Caenorhabditis elegans: one gene and its partner. The protein of the gene in region 1 interacts with the protein of each later gene in a pairwise test. Each region holds a gene or a part of one and is shown on either strand. Other genes may lie near its edges.

Evidence for each region. Proteins that work in one complex are often made in the same cells at the same time.
Region 2: the proteins of nubp-1 (region 1) and oxy-4 interact in a two-hybrid assay, tested with the Caenorhabditis elegans proteins (one large-scale study listed by BioGRID).

What each region holds. Positions count from the first base shown.
Region 1 is NC_003279.8:10,044,935-10,050,948, forward strand, and holds nubp-1 (Cytosolic Fe-S cluster assembly factor NUBP1 homolog), read left to right. Parts: upstream 1-1,507; 5' UTR 1,508-1,515; coding exon 1,516-1,695; intron 1,696-1,743; coding exon 1,744-2,214; intron 2,215-2,650; coding exon 2,651-2,941; 3' UTR 2,942-3,043; downstream 3,044-6,014. Other genes in the region: ercc-1 (ERCC1-like central domain-containing protein), read left to right, coding at 641-760, 1,092-1,236; F10G8.9 (beta-ketoacyl-[acyl-carrier-protein] synthase I), read left to right, coding at 3,153-3,571, 4,121-4,561, 5,062-5,278, 5,618-5,752; F10G8.8 (PH domain-containing protein), read right to left, coding at 6,014-6,014. UniProt on the Caenorhabditis elegans protein: Component of the cytosolic iron-sulfur (Fe/S) protein assembly (CIA) machinery. Required for maturation of extramitochondrial Fe-S proteins.
Region 2 is NC_003281.10:5,153,722-5,161,939, reverse strand, and holds oxy-4 (putative cytosolic Fe-S cluster assembly factor oxy-4), read left to right. Parts: upstream 1-3,165; 5' UTR 3,166-3,172; coding exon 3,173-3,241; intron 3,242-3,939; coding exon 3,940-4,750; intron 4,751-5,053; coding exon of another isoform or gene 5,054-5,151; intron 5,152-5,208; coding exon of another isoform or gene 5,209-5,284; intron 5,285-5,335; coding exon of another isoform or gene 5,336-5,506; intron 5,507-5,869; coding exon 5,870-5,975; intron 5,976-6,020; coding exon 6,021-6,408; 3' UTR 6,409-6,480; downstream 6,481-8,218. Other genes in the region: gars-1 (Glycine--tRNA ligase), read left to right, coding at 1-336, 381-893, 942-1,360, 1,411-1,738, 1,807-2,064; T10F2.5 (Trafficking protein particle complex subunit 2-like protein), read left to right, coding at 2,336-2,374, 2,609-2,764, 2,811-3,029; grwd-1 (Glutamate-rich WD repeat-containing protein 1), read right to left, coding at 6,624-7,159, 7,336-7,786, 7,926-8,083, 8,132-8,218. UniProt on the Caenorhabditis elegans protein: Component of the cytosolic iron-sulfur (Fe/S) protein assembly machinery. Required for maturation of extramitochondrial Fe/S proteins.

The sequences.
Region 1 (6,014 bases):
TACACACGCTGCGTAAATCAACACAGTGTAAAATGCTCACAAACTTCCAAAAAAGAGATGGCTAAAATTTTCGAAAATCTGTGCGACTTTTTGTTTATTTTATGATGAGACCTAGGACCACAAGTAAAAATTTGACTGAGCAGCAAATGAGCATTCTACCAGCGCTTATCCTTCGTCACACCCATCTGGCCGTCCTTTTATTATTTTCAACAAACGTTTTCTGTGTTATGTACGTTGGGAGAGCAACAGCAATTTGTGGGCGAAGGAAGCACTTTGGGATAATTTTATGGGTTTTGTAGACCCCGAGTAGAAAGAAAACTAGAAAAGTGATGAACAATTGGGAGAATTTTCGGAAAGAAAAGGAAGGGTTAAGAATAGCTGACACAAATTGTGTAGAAAATTGAATTTGCAATAAGTTTGAGTTGTCGAAAAAAATTAACTAAAAAGTATAGTATTTCCTCCAGAGTAGAAACAAAAAAACTTTCGTTTCGTTAGATAGCTCGTAAAATAAAACCAAAATCGTTAACGTTACAGTACTTCAAAGTCTTATACGCTCTCAGCGTAGCTGGTCTCGAAGCGATTACCTCCGAAATTATTTTTACTCTGAGAAATAACAAAATTAATAAAAATTAATTTTCAGAAAAAAGGCGATTGACGATGGAGGGGACAGTTCGATGAGTGATGAACGCCGACGAAATCGAGAAGCTGCCATTGGATTTCTGACCGCGGCTAGAAGTATCACAAAAACAGATGCGGATCGGTAAGAGAACAACAAAACACAAGTGAAATTTTATCCTAAAAATCAGTTGAAGATACCTTAAGGTACCTTGTCATGACTCATAATTGAACAAGATTACTTGGATATAGTTTTGAAATTTTCTGTTTGGTAATTTTAACCTAGTTATTGTGTTCTCTTATTGTACTTTCTGTTAAAATAAATAAAGTTAGACTAATTTAAATAAGCATCTTAGGAATTCAGTTTCCTGAAAATTTGTAGTGTCTTAAAAAATAATAATGCAAACGCGCTCCACGAACGCTCTCTCTCTCTCTCTCTCTCTCTCTCTCTCTCGAACAATATTTTTTCTTTTCAGTCTTCTATTCCATTTCGGCACTCTTCAAGCAATTTCAACAGCTTCCGAAACATCAATTTCTGCATGTCCTGGTGTCGGACCAATCAAAGCTAAAAATTTACACTCTTTTCTTCATGCAATTATTTCACCTAACGAGCAGGATTAATCGATATTCTTTCAAAGTTTGAATGTGACGAGTTGTATATTTACTTGAATTTCGTAATTGTCATCATCTTCCCTGTGAATCAAACTCACCTGGTAAATAAAAATCAAAGATCACATTAATCGTTTTCTCTTTTTCTCTTTATTTTCATATCTATTGTAATCTTTCAAACGTTATCAATTCCAGTTATCTTCAAAAAATTGTCTCATTATTCGTCTTTTTGTTTCACATTATCTCAATGGTTCAATCGATTTCTTGTTCAATCGATTTTCAGAAAAAAAAATGTCTGACGTACCTGACGACGCTAACGCCGGATGCCCGGGAACTGGAAGTGCCGGAGCTGGTAAGGCTTCAGGATGTGCTGGATGTCCAAATCAGGGGTCTTGTGCTACTGGTCAAGGACCACCACCAGACGCAGATGTGCCGAAGATTCAGGATAGGTTCAGCAGAATTAAGCATAAGGTTAGTCTTTACTATCAAATATTCTTCAGCTGTTAAATTCTTTTACAGATTCTGATTCTCAGTGGAAAAGGAGGAGTCGGTAAAAGTACTCTCACATCGAATCTTGCTCGAGCCCTTGCCTCTGATCCATCAAAACAAGTTGCAATTCTTGACGTGGACATTTGTGGACCATCTCAACCAAGAATGATGGGAGTTGAGGACGAGGAAGTTCATAACAGTGCAGATGGATGGACTCCTGTCGGAATTCAGCCAAATCTGACCCTGATGAGCATTGCTTTCTTGCTCGGTGACAAGAACGATGCTGTGATTTGGCGTGGAGCTCGCAAGAACGGAATGATCAAGCAATTTCTGAAAGACGTCGATTGGGGAGAGGTTGATTATTTGCTGATTGATACACCTCCAGGAACATCTGATGAACATATTTCTCTTGTTCAATTCTTATTGCAAGCAGGTCCATTGGATGGTGCATTGATTGTCAGTACTCCGCAAGAAGTTTCATTGCTTGATGTCAGAAAAGAGGCGAGTTTAAATTTGAAACTTTCCCTGAAAAAGAGTTTTCAGAATAAATTTTTGATACTCACTGTCAGTTATTACACATACGCGAAGTTTTTGCAAGTTTAACGCCAAATATACGGTACCCGGTCTCAACACGAAAAATTTGTTGTAATATTCGAAAAGTGTGCGCCTTTAAAAAGTACTGTAATTTAAAACTTTCGTTGCTTCGGAATTTCCATAATTTTTTTCCAATTTACTTGCATTTTTTTATAACAAAAATTCCGAAGCAGCGAGAAATTGAAATTACAGTACTTCTTAAAGGCACACACCAGTTTTTATTTAACGAACAGTTTTCGTGTTGAGACCGAGTACTGTATTTTTGGAGAAAAAATCGCAAAACTTCGCGTCTTTGTATTAGTTGATTTCATCTTCAGAATTATGATAAACAATTTATTTTCAGGTCAGCTTCTGCGTCAAGACTAAAGTCCCGATTCTTGGTGTTGTTGAGAACATGGCTCGTTTCGTATGCCCCAACTGTGCTCATACAACTCTCCTCTTCCCAACATCCACCGGCGGAGCTGAGCAAATGTGCAAAGATTCGAATCTTGAGCTTCTAGCTCAACTCCCATTGGAACCAGCACTTGCAAAAGCTCTTGACAATGGAGAAGACTTTTTCGAGACAAATCCAGATTCAACGCTGGCAAAATCGTTTTTGGATCTTGCTGAGAAAGTTAAGGCAAAGCTTGTTTAAATTTTCGTATGTTGCATTGTTGATTACTTCTTTTCCTCCAGGATTCCTAATTTGTTTCCATGTTGTGAGTTTTAGATCATCAAAAATAAATGTTAAATGTTTTCCTCATAATGTTTGAACATTTAAAAAGCGATTCTTGAATTCATCAATATTTCAGAGCTATTGTTTTATTTAAAGGAAAATGAAATTAAAAATAAATAAAAATTTTGAGATGCACCGTGTTGTTATAACAGGGATGGGTGCAATTTCACCATTCGGTGTTACCGTTAATGCACTACGAAACGGTTTGAACGAGGGAAGAAGTGGCTTGAAATACGATGAAATTCTCAAATTTGTCGTCGGTGCAGTTCCTGGAGAACGGGTGGAAGATCGGTGGAGCACTGGACAACAAAGAGAAATGAGTAAAGCGAGCATGTTCGTGTTAGCTGCATCAGAAGAAGCATTGAAACAGGCAAAAGCTGAAGATGTCGATCACAATGAAACATTAGTTAATATTGGAACATGTATGTCAGATCTAGAACATATTGGAGAAACTGCACAAAAAGTGTCGGAAGGACAATCGAGAAGGGTGTCACCATACTTTGTTCCGCGAATTTTGAATAATCTTCCAGCTGGATATGTTGCAATGAAGTTCGTTTTTAATAACGCGATATTTTGCGATTTTCGCTCCAAGGCCTCGACACGACAAATTTATGTTCACTGCGAAAAGACACGCGCGCCTTAAAGGGGTACTGTAGTTAAAGTCTCTAGTTGCTGCAAAATTTTAATTGAATTTCATAGTTTTTCAATTCAACTAGAATATTTATTTTTAAATTAACTATATTTTAAAAAAATATGAAAAATAAATAAAAATTCTGTAATCTTAAATTTTTTTAAAAATTTCGGAAATTTGGTAAATTCTCAACTTCCGGAATACTAAAAAAAATTTTTTTTTTTTATTAAGTTTTTATAATTTTGTTGTTTTTTTTAGTTTTCATGAAAAAAATTGAAGTTTACAGTAATCTTCAGTAAAATGCTCACACATTTTTGTATTTAACTAAAATTTGGTCGTGTTGAGACCGGGTATCGCATTTTTGGCTTGAAAAGCTCAAAATTTTGCGACCGGGCGCTACTAAATTTTTAATTGTTTTCTTTTCCAAAAACCAATGTAAAGTTCAATCCTAAACTCTAACATTTCAGATATAAAATGCGTGGAGGAGTAGAATCAACATCAACTGCATGTGCCACTGGACTTCATTGCATTGGAAACTCATTTCGATCTATTCGATACGGAGATTCTCGACGAGCTCTGGCAGGAGCTGTAGAATGTGCTCTCAATCCAATTGCTCTAGCTGGTTTTGATAGAATGAGAGCATTGGCAAGAGGTGATCAACCAAATATTAGTAGACCTTTCGATAAGAAAAGAGCTGGATTTGTAATGAGTGAAGGTGTTGGATTAGTATTTATGGAACGACTAGAAGATGCACAGGCACGTGGAGCACAGATTTTAGCTGAAGTTGTTGGATATGGAATATCATCTGATTGTTATCATATTTCTACACCTGATCCATCTGCAATTGGTGCAGTTCTTTCAATGAACAGAGCGATAGGAAATGCACATTTGGAGCCGAAAGATATTGGGTTTGTTTTTTTATTTTCCAAAATAACAGCGTTACTGAAGTTACTGAGTTTTTAAAAATTGGAAAAAAACTAAATTTTTAAATTTTAGATAGTTTTGAAATCGAAAAAAATTTTAAAAAATGTTATTGCAAAACTATTTTTCTTTTGAAAATCATGAAAACTGAAATATTTCAATTAAAAAATCAAAAAATATTACAATTTCAAATTTTGGATAGTTTTAAAATTAAAAAAAAAGTTTTGAAAAACATATCATTGCAAAACGATATTGTTTTTTTTTTGAAAATCGTATTTACTGAAATATTCCAATTAAAACAAAATCGAAAAAAATTAATTACACGAATAAAATCATGTAAATAAAAATAAAAGAAAAGATCGAAAAACTGAAATTGATAACTTCGATATATTAAAAAAATGTCTTGATTGATTTTGAAAACCAAAACATATCGAAAATTAAATTTTTCAACAAAAAAAATCGAAATATATTGCCTCTCATATTCCAGATATGTAAATGCTCATGCAACATCAACACCAAATGGGGATAGTGTAGAAGCAGAAGCTGTACGACAAGTATTTCCAGAACAAAATATTGCAGTGAGCAGTGTCAAAGGACATATTGGACATCTTCTTGGTGCAGCTGGATCAGTTGAAGCAATTGCAACGATTTTTGCAATGAATGATGATGTTTTACCAGCGAATCGAAATTTAGAAGAAACTGATGTATGGTTACTGTATCACCCAGACGCCAAAAATACAGTACATGGTCTCGAAACGATTTTTTGTAAAATACGCAGTTAAAGAGTACGGTAATTTCAAAATTATGTTGCTTTGTAATTTTCCAATAGTTTTTCGTAAAGGAATGATATTTATTTATCAAATAAAGAAAATAAAATCAGAAAAACTATGAAAAGTCCACATCACTGAAAGTTTGAAATTACAGTACTCTTTAAAGGCTCACACCAATTTGTATTTAACAAAAAATTGTCGTGCCGAGACCTTGTACCGTAATATTTAGCGTCATGGGAATTTGAGCTTTTTTTTCAAATGTGTTTTTTTCAGGAAGGAAATGGATTGAATCTTCTCCGCGAAAATCAAAAATGGTCTGATGTTTCCGGAAATAAATCGCGAATCTCAATTTGTAATTCATTTGGATTCGGTGCCACAAATGCTAGTCTTATTTTGAAACAGTTTTGAAAAATGTATAAAAAAGAATTTATAATTTGTACTCGATCGTTTCATATGAGCACCAGACATACAAACATTTTCTAGAAACAAGTAGAACAATTGAAAAATTATAAGAAAAGAAGAAAATACACGAATATCACAGATAAATTATGGTTAGCCGGAGTGAGAGCGAATTCAAATATTAGTAATTGACTACAACAAAGGATGGGGAAGAAACACGATTTGATCGAATAAAACTTAAAATTGGGTTAGGAAACAACTAAAAGACATC
Region 2 (8,218 bases), on another chromosome or scaffold:
GAAGCATCATTCGATCGTCTGAAATTGGAGGATCTTCTCAAAAGACGATTCTTCTATGATCAATCATTTGCTATCTATGGTGGTGTCACTGGTCTCTACGATTTCGGTCCGATGGGATGTTCCTTGAAGGCTAATATGCTCCAAGAATGGAGAAAACATTTCATTCTTGAAGAGGGCATGTTGGAAGTTGACTGTACTTCTCTCACTCCTGAACCAGTTCTGAAAGCTTCTGGACACGTTGACAGATTTGCTGATTGGATGGTGAAGGATATGAAGAATGGAGAATGCTTCCGTGCTGATCATTTGATCAAGAATAGCATTGAGAAGTTGTTAAATGTAAGTTTTCAAAAGAAGTTTCCGTTCTATATTTCGATTTTCAGGATAAAAAGACTAGCGCTGCAGTCAAACAAGACGGACAGGATGTGCTTGCGCGTCTTGAAGGATTCGATAATAAGGATATGCATGAAGTGATCACTCGATTCAATTTCAAGTCTCCGATCACTGGAAATGATCTCACCGAACCAATCGCATTCAACTTGATGTTCCCAACTCAAATTGGACCAACTGGTGACTTCAAAGCATTCCTTCGACCAGAAACCGCTCAAGGAATCTTTGTGAATTTCAAACGACTTTTGGAGTTCAACCAAGGAAAATTGCCATTCGCTGCTGCACAAATCGGATTGGGATTCAGAAATGAAATTTCTCCAAGACAAGGTCTCATTCGTGTTCGTGAATTCACAATGTGCGAAATTGAGCATTTTGTCGACCCAGAAGACAAGAGCTTGGCAAAATTTGCAAAGGTTGCTGATCAAAAGCTTGTTCTTTTCTCGGCTTGCAATCAATTAGACGGTGCTCCAGCTCAGGAAGTTGCTATTGGCGAGGCTGTTGCCAAGGTTTGTTGCTCATTTTTCAAAAGTTTATCCAATTTTTAAATCTTATAGAAAACTGTAGCCAATGAGACACTCGGTTATTACATGGCTCGTTGTCATCAATTCCTCATGAAGGTTGGTATTGATGGACGTCGTCTCCGGTTCCGCCAACATTTATCAAACGAAATGGCTCACTACGCTCAAGACTGCTGGGACGCTGAAATCTTGACCTCTTATGGATGGATCGAATGTGTTGGTAACGCTGATAGAGCTTGCTACGATCTCCAACAACATTACAAAGCAACAAACGTCAAGTTGGTTGCCGAGAAGAAGCTCCCAGAGCCAGTCGATGTTAATTTTGTCGAGGCACAAGCCAACATGGCTTTGCTGGGCAAGAGCTTCAAAAAGGACGCTAAGAAAATTCAAACATCGCTCCAACAACTCACCAGTGAACAAGTCTCGGCTCTTGAAGAAGAGCTTCTCGCCAAGAAGTGAGTTTTGATTATGAAATAATTCTACAATTTAAAAATAAATTTTTCAGGCTGTACAATCTCAGCGTGGACGGCCAGAATTACGCGTTGACCCCAGAGCATCTGAATATTAAGAAATACACGAAAAAGATTCACGTACAAGAGATTACTCCATCAGTTATTGAACCATCGTATGGTATCGGAAGAATTATGTATGCTCTTCTCGAGCACTCGTTCAGACAAAGAGAAGGAGATGAACAGAGGACTTTCTTGGCTTTCAAGCCATTAGTTGCACCAATCAAATGCTCAGTTCTTCCAATTTCAGCCAATGACACATTGATTCCAGTTATGGATGCCGTTAAGGAGGAACTCTCACGCTTTGAGATGAGTTACAAAGTGGTGAGTTTGAACTATAGTTTTGATATAAAGTGCTTTTAGAACGGGAAATTTAAATTTTATTTTTTCAGGATGACAGCTCCGGCACCATTGGTCGCCGTTACGCACGTACTGATGAGATTGGTATTCCATTCGGAATCACTGTTGACTTTGATTCATTGAAGACCACTCCATTCACTGTCACCATCCGCCACGCTGAAACAATGTCACAGATTCGATTAGAAGTCTCAGAACTCGGAAGACTCATTTCTGATCTTGTCGCTGGCCGTCAACAATGGTCCGATGCTCAGGCCAAATATCCAAAATTCGAAGCGAGCGCAACTGAATAATTGAATGTTTATCTAAATTTTTGTATTGCCTTTTTACATTTCCAGCAAAGTATAATCATTGTTCTTTTCGTTTATTTATTCTGGTTTCAACTTTTCGAGTGCTTTTTTTGTTTTCTTTATGGTTACCAATGAATTGAGAGTTATTTTATAACGCTGTCCGTCATAGAATACGTGTGTGGTACATCAAACATCGCTGAAAAATACTTGAATATGATTAATATTCTCAATAGAGAAAAAATAGTATTACAAAAAATAAATTTTTAAATTCAGTATGCTTGGCGTCGTCGGATTCTTCATTTATGCTAAAGAGGTATGCGTTTTTTTTTAAATTCGAAACCGGTTGCAGCAAGAAGACGGGTCGATGTGAATATACGCCCCACGACCAATTGGAAATGCTCCGCCCCTGTTTTTTTGATTTTACGGTTCTACCACCATATACCTAACGAGACCCATCGTTTGGGGGCGGAGCGTCTTCAATTGACCGTGGAGCGCGTTTTGACGATCATTTCGGCCTGTCCTGCCTCCTCGTAAAAGAAAAATTCAGAATTCCCGTCTATTCGATTCGGTGAATCCACGTTACGCACAGCAATTGCTTGAAATCGAGATGTTCACATTCTGCTCATTGGATATTGTAGATGAGAAATCAACAAAAGCATCGGAAATGTTTTTGGGACAACTTTATAATGATCAAAAGTGGAGGGTAAAGAATATTTGACTGAAAACTACTTTATATCTTCATTTTTCAGTCATTCGGCTACATTACCAACACAGGAGTCCGTATGATTCTGGTTCTTGACGCAACTTCAGCAGCTTCATTAAAAGATCAGGAGATTCGATTGATATTCAAACGATTCCATGGACATTATTGTAATACTATCTCAAATCCATTTTATGAAATCGGAACCCCAATGCAATCAAAATGGCTTGACGAAGGAATCAATGATCTATATTCGATTAGTGAATAATAATGAAACGGATTTTGTAAATAAAATAATTTTTGTTTTTTTCTTGTGAATCTACGAATATGGATGATTTTCAATCGTCTTTGACGTCACTGTATCTTTAATTGTCTTATTCAGATAATATTAAAAATATTTCCAGAAGTTTTATGGAAGATTCTGGATTCAGTGGTGTCGTTCGACTTTCAAATGTTTCGGATTTTATTGCTCCGAATTTGGTGAGTTTTTTTAAAAAATGACGTCTGTTAATTCTCCAGTTTCAAAAGTTAAAAAGTTAAAGTATAACTACTTTGTGAGAAGTTTATATTCTTGTTTTTAATTCGAATTTTTAAAAAACGTTTCAGAAAATGTTCTGATTTTTTTCGAAATTAAATTTCGTTTTACAATTTTGTATTGTCAGGAATTGTTTTTTTTTTGAAATTCTGAAATTTCTGGTAAATTTTAATAAAAATAAATCCAAAACAAGTTATATTAAAGATAATCCAGCGATTTTGAATGTTTAAAATAAATCTATAGTCAAAAATTTCAATCAAAAACTGAACATTTCCAAGATAAAATAAATACATACATACAAACTTCACCTCGAGGAGACATTTTATCTATGCAAATGCCTAATTTAGCTAGTTTTTATTTAAGAAAAAAACGGTACCTGGTCTCGACATGGCCAAATAAATATTCATAAAAACGACGTGCGCCTTTAAGAAGTACGGTAGTTTTTTTGTTCTTGTTTCCTTTTAAAAAATTATTTTTGTGTAACCAGTTTTTCAAAAAATAAGTGAAAGTTGCAAAGAGTGGACACTACTGTACTTTCTGAATGCGCACACACTTTTTCATTAAACATTTTATTTCTGTCGTGTCGAGACCAGAAATTCTTTTATTTTTTGAATATTACTGTAAAATTGTATCAATTTTTCAGGACTGCATAATCCCATTGGAAACGAGAACTGTGGAAAAGAAAAAAGAAGAATCACAAGTGAATATCCGTACCAAAAAACCAAAAGACAAAGAATCTTCTAAAACAGAAGAAAAGAAATCCGTTAAAATCTCGTTAGCTGATTGTCTGGCATGTAGTGGATGTATCACTAGTGCTGAAACAGTTCTTGTTGAAGAACAATCATTTGGACGAGTTTATGAAGGAATTCAAAATTCAAAGCTCTCAGTCGTCACTGTTTCTCCACAAGCCATCACTTCTATTGCTGTGAAAATTGGAAAATCAACAAATGAAGTAGCGAAAATAATTGCCTCATTTTTCCGAAGACTAGGTGTCAAATACGTAATTGATTCATCATTTGCCCGGAAATTTGCACATTCTTTAATATATGAAGAACTTTCAACAACTCCATCAACATCTCGACCACTTCTTTCATCTGCTTGTCCGGGATTTGTGTGCTACGCTGAAAAAAGTCACGGAGAGCTTTTAATCCCTAAAATCAGTAAAATTCGATCACCTCAAGCTATAAGTGGTGCAATTATCAAAGGATTTCTAGCAAAAAGAGAAGGTTTAAGCCCCTGTGATGTATTCCATGCAGCTGTAATGCCATGTTTTGATAAGAAATTAGAGGCATCGAGAGAACAATTTAAAGTTGATGGAACTGATGTTCGAGAGACTGATTGTGTTATAAGTACTGCTGAACTGTTAGAAGAAATTATCAAATTGGAAAACGACGAAGCCGGAGATGTTGAAAATAGATCAGAAGAAGAGCAATGGTTATCGGCTCTTTCTAAAGGTAAATTTGAAAAGAAATAACAATTTCTGTGGTTTTTTTATTTCTTTAAAGTCAGGCTCAAATTCTCCAATTTCGACGCAAATCCTTTGGTTTCCTCAAATTTTTTAGTGAAAAAAACTTTATGTAGAGAATACCAAAAGTTACCAAAAATCTGGAATTTTTCTACAGAATTTAGCACGCCACTGTAGACATAAAAACCTCTTTTTCACTTGAAAATTCGAGAAAAACAAAGAAGCTGCGGCGGATTTGAGAGCTGAAAGACAAAAAAACAACGACTTGTATTTTAACCGATTTTATTCAAAATTAACAGCATTTAGGTCCCCAGTTGATCTCATAATCTTCTGGTCGTGATGGTGGACGAGCTGGTGGGACAACTTTCGAGATTGTCGATTTGAGCTTATCTGAAATGATTTCAATTTTAGAACATCTTCAGCTTATAAAATCTTATTTATACTTACCGGTTTCGGAGCAGCTGCTTTTGGTTTTGTAGCCTTCGCTTTGCACCCAACAGAAACAGTCTGCGCCAATAATATTCTGAAATTGAAAATAATTTCAGTCAAATTCTCAGAAATTAATAAAACTTACATCCCAAAAAAAATCAGGCTTGATCAGTTACACAATCAATTTCTTGAGTGACTGAATTCAAGCTCTTATTCTTGAGGAATAAATTTTAAACTTTTGAATACTCCTTTTCTACGTGTAGATTTTTTTATTTCTCTTCACGTGTTGTAGGACACGTGTTTTCAGCTCGACCATTCGGTGTAATTTGTGCAAACACCGTCACGCGCAAATGCAGACATTTTTGCACGCGCTGTGGTGAAATTCCTCTTGGGGAATTCAAATATTTTTCTCTCGCCGTTTTTGAAAATTTTCGAGGCGTTGGTTCTTTTAAAATCGCGCTACAATGCCTCCGCCTCCCAACCATGGGTCTCGGTAGGTATTGGCGACAAAACCATATTTTCCAACTTGTGGAAAACATTTATTTTACGAGAAATACAACATGAAACTGAACAGAGCAGGAGCTGAAAAACATATCGTAAATTTTCTACAGTAATCTTTAGAAACGAAACAAAATAAAAAAAGATGCCTCCCTTAAAACACAATACTGAAATGTTTCAGGATCTGTTATTGGTGACGATGGTGGTGCTTCTGGAGGATATGCTGATCGAATTGTTCGAGATTTCGTGCTGGAAAATGGAGGAGGAATTGTAAAAACATCAAAACTGTAGGAATAAATAACTTTAAATAATGTAATATTTCATTTTTTCAGAAACAAGAACATGTTCTCCACGACTGTAGAATCCGAAGCTGGAGAAATTCTTTTAAGAGTTGCCAAGGTTTACGGGTTTCGAAATGTGCAGAATCTGGTTCGAAAAATGAAGACGAAAAAGGAGAAGACAGATTACGTGGAAATTATGGCTTGTCCGGGTGGATGTGCAAATGGTGGAGGTCAGATTCGGTACGAGACAATGGATGAGAGAGAAGAGAAATTGATTAAAGTCGAGGCATTATATGAAGATTTACCCAGACAAGATGATGAAGAAACCTGGATAAAAGTTCGAGAGGAATGGGAGAAACTTGATAAAAACTACCGTAATCTTCTGTTTACGGACTATAGGCCCGTTGAGACGAATGTTGCTCAAGTCTTGAAATGGTGAATTTTCTTGTTATATTTTGTGATACATTCCCAGTCCCTAATTTTTTAGATTCTATAGAATAAAATGTTTTTTTTTGTTTTTCAACGAAAACGCGACATTTTTAAAGCATTTTTTGGTTAACAGAAAAGTTACGAAAAAAAATGAACAGTAACAATGTTGAATAGATGAGAAAAACAGCAACAAAAACAAACAGGGAGCAATAACAGGGAGACATCTTAAATATTAATAGTCTTGAAGACATTAAATCCATCAATTGAAGTGTTGATAGCCAATCCAGGAATCTGTTGATGCCAGTGAACTTCTTTGACCTCATTCTGACCCATATGGACGAACATCAGCTGTGGTGGAACTCCTTCGATATTCGTTTGTCCATCTGCTTCAGTTGCAATATCCCAAATTGTTGTCTGATCGTCTTCACCGGAAGCCATAAATGTCGTTGTTTCATGTGGATGCCAGTCGACTGAAGTGATTGGTGAATTGTGATACTTGAAGAGTGCCACTGGTTGACCGAATTGGATTGTTTTCAAAGACCAAATTTTCAGCTCTCCGTCATCACCACCAGAAACAATGAGGTTTTCGTGACGATTCCACGAAATAACATTAACATCGGATTCATGAGCTTTTTGCACTGTACAGACGCAGGCATCTTTTGGAGCAGAACGTGTATCCCATAGTTTGATACTTCCATCCGCGGAACATGAAGCAAGAAGTCCAGTTTCAGTTGGTGACCATGCAAGATCTTCGACACTCTCTGAAAAATATTGGAATATGTACTGAAAAATGCTCAAAAATTTTTATGCGACAAAGACAAGTTTTTAATTCAGATTTTTGTTTTTTTCCAATCTATTCAAGAAAAAACCACTCAAACGCCATTCAGGAGACACATTTCAATTTTTGGAATTTTCAGATCAAAATTAAATAAATTACTTTTATGTCCAGTTAATGGATTAGCTCCAACAGCCCATTGTCCTCCTTCCTTCATTTGCCACAAATAAATCTTTTTGATGATATCACCAGTAGCCAAGTCTCCAGTTTTTAATGAAGACCAAGCAAGTCCATATCCTTCTTTTCCAGATCCATTATTCGTGAACAAGGGTCGATCGATCTTTTGCACTTCAGTCTTCGACTCTCCGCTCATTCCATGAGTATAATTCAATGCATCAGTGATATTCCACACCTGGACACGTCCTTGATCACTCCAGCAAGCACATACAGTACTGTCACCAAGACGATCGGAACGAATTCGGTTAATACCACCATAGTGAGGAATCGAAACAGCGTGCATTTTTGGTTCTCTTTTCTTCTCTTCTTCGGCATCTTCATCTTCGGATTCGTCTTCAGAGGTGTCACTGTCGTCGCCTTTGTTTTCTTTTTCTTTCTGAAATACTCACTTTTATTGTAGAGATATCCTTGTTTTTTTTAGTTTAACAATTGTGTTACTGAGCTTAAAACTAAACGTTGGCCGGAATTTCAATTTCATAACAGGTAAATAATAAAAAAGTTTGAAACCGACTAACCCTCATCGTTGTAAGATTCTTCAATCCCATCACAATGATTTCGTTATCCCTTGGCTTATCGGCTTGAGTTCCACTGACAATATAACATTCGGCAGGGAATTGTGTTCTGTTCTCGCCCAAACCATCTTTAACAACGTCAAACGACAAGCATGGCCAATCTAAATCATAAAATATAAATATTTTAGAAACAATTTCGTTTGAATCACCAGAATTGAAACTATGAAATAGTTTGTAAGCACTAGGGTCAAAATCCAATTCTTCTCCTTTTTTCAATGGCCGGCTGAGGCCTGGAA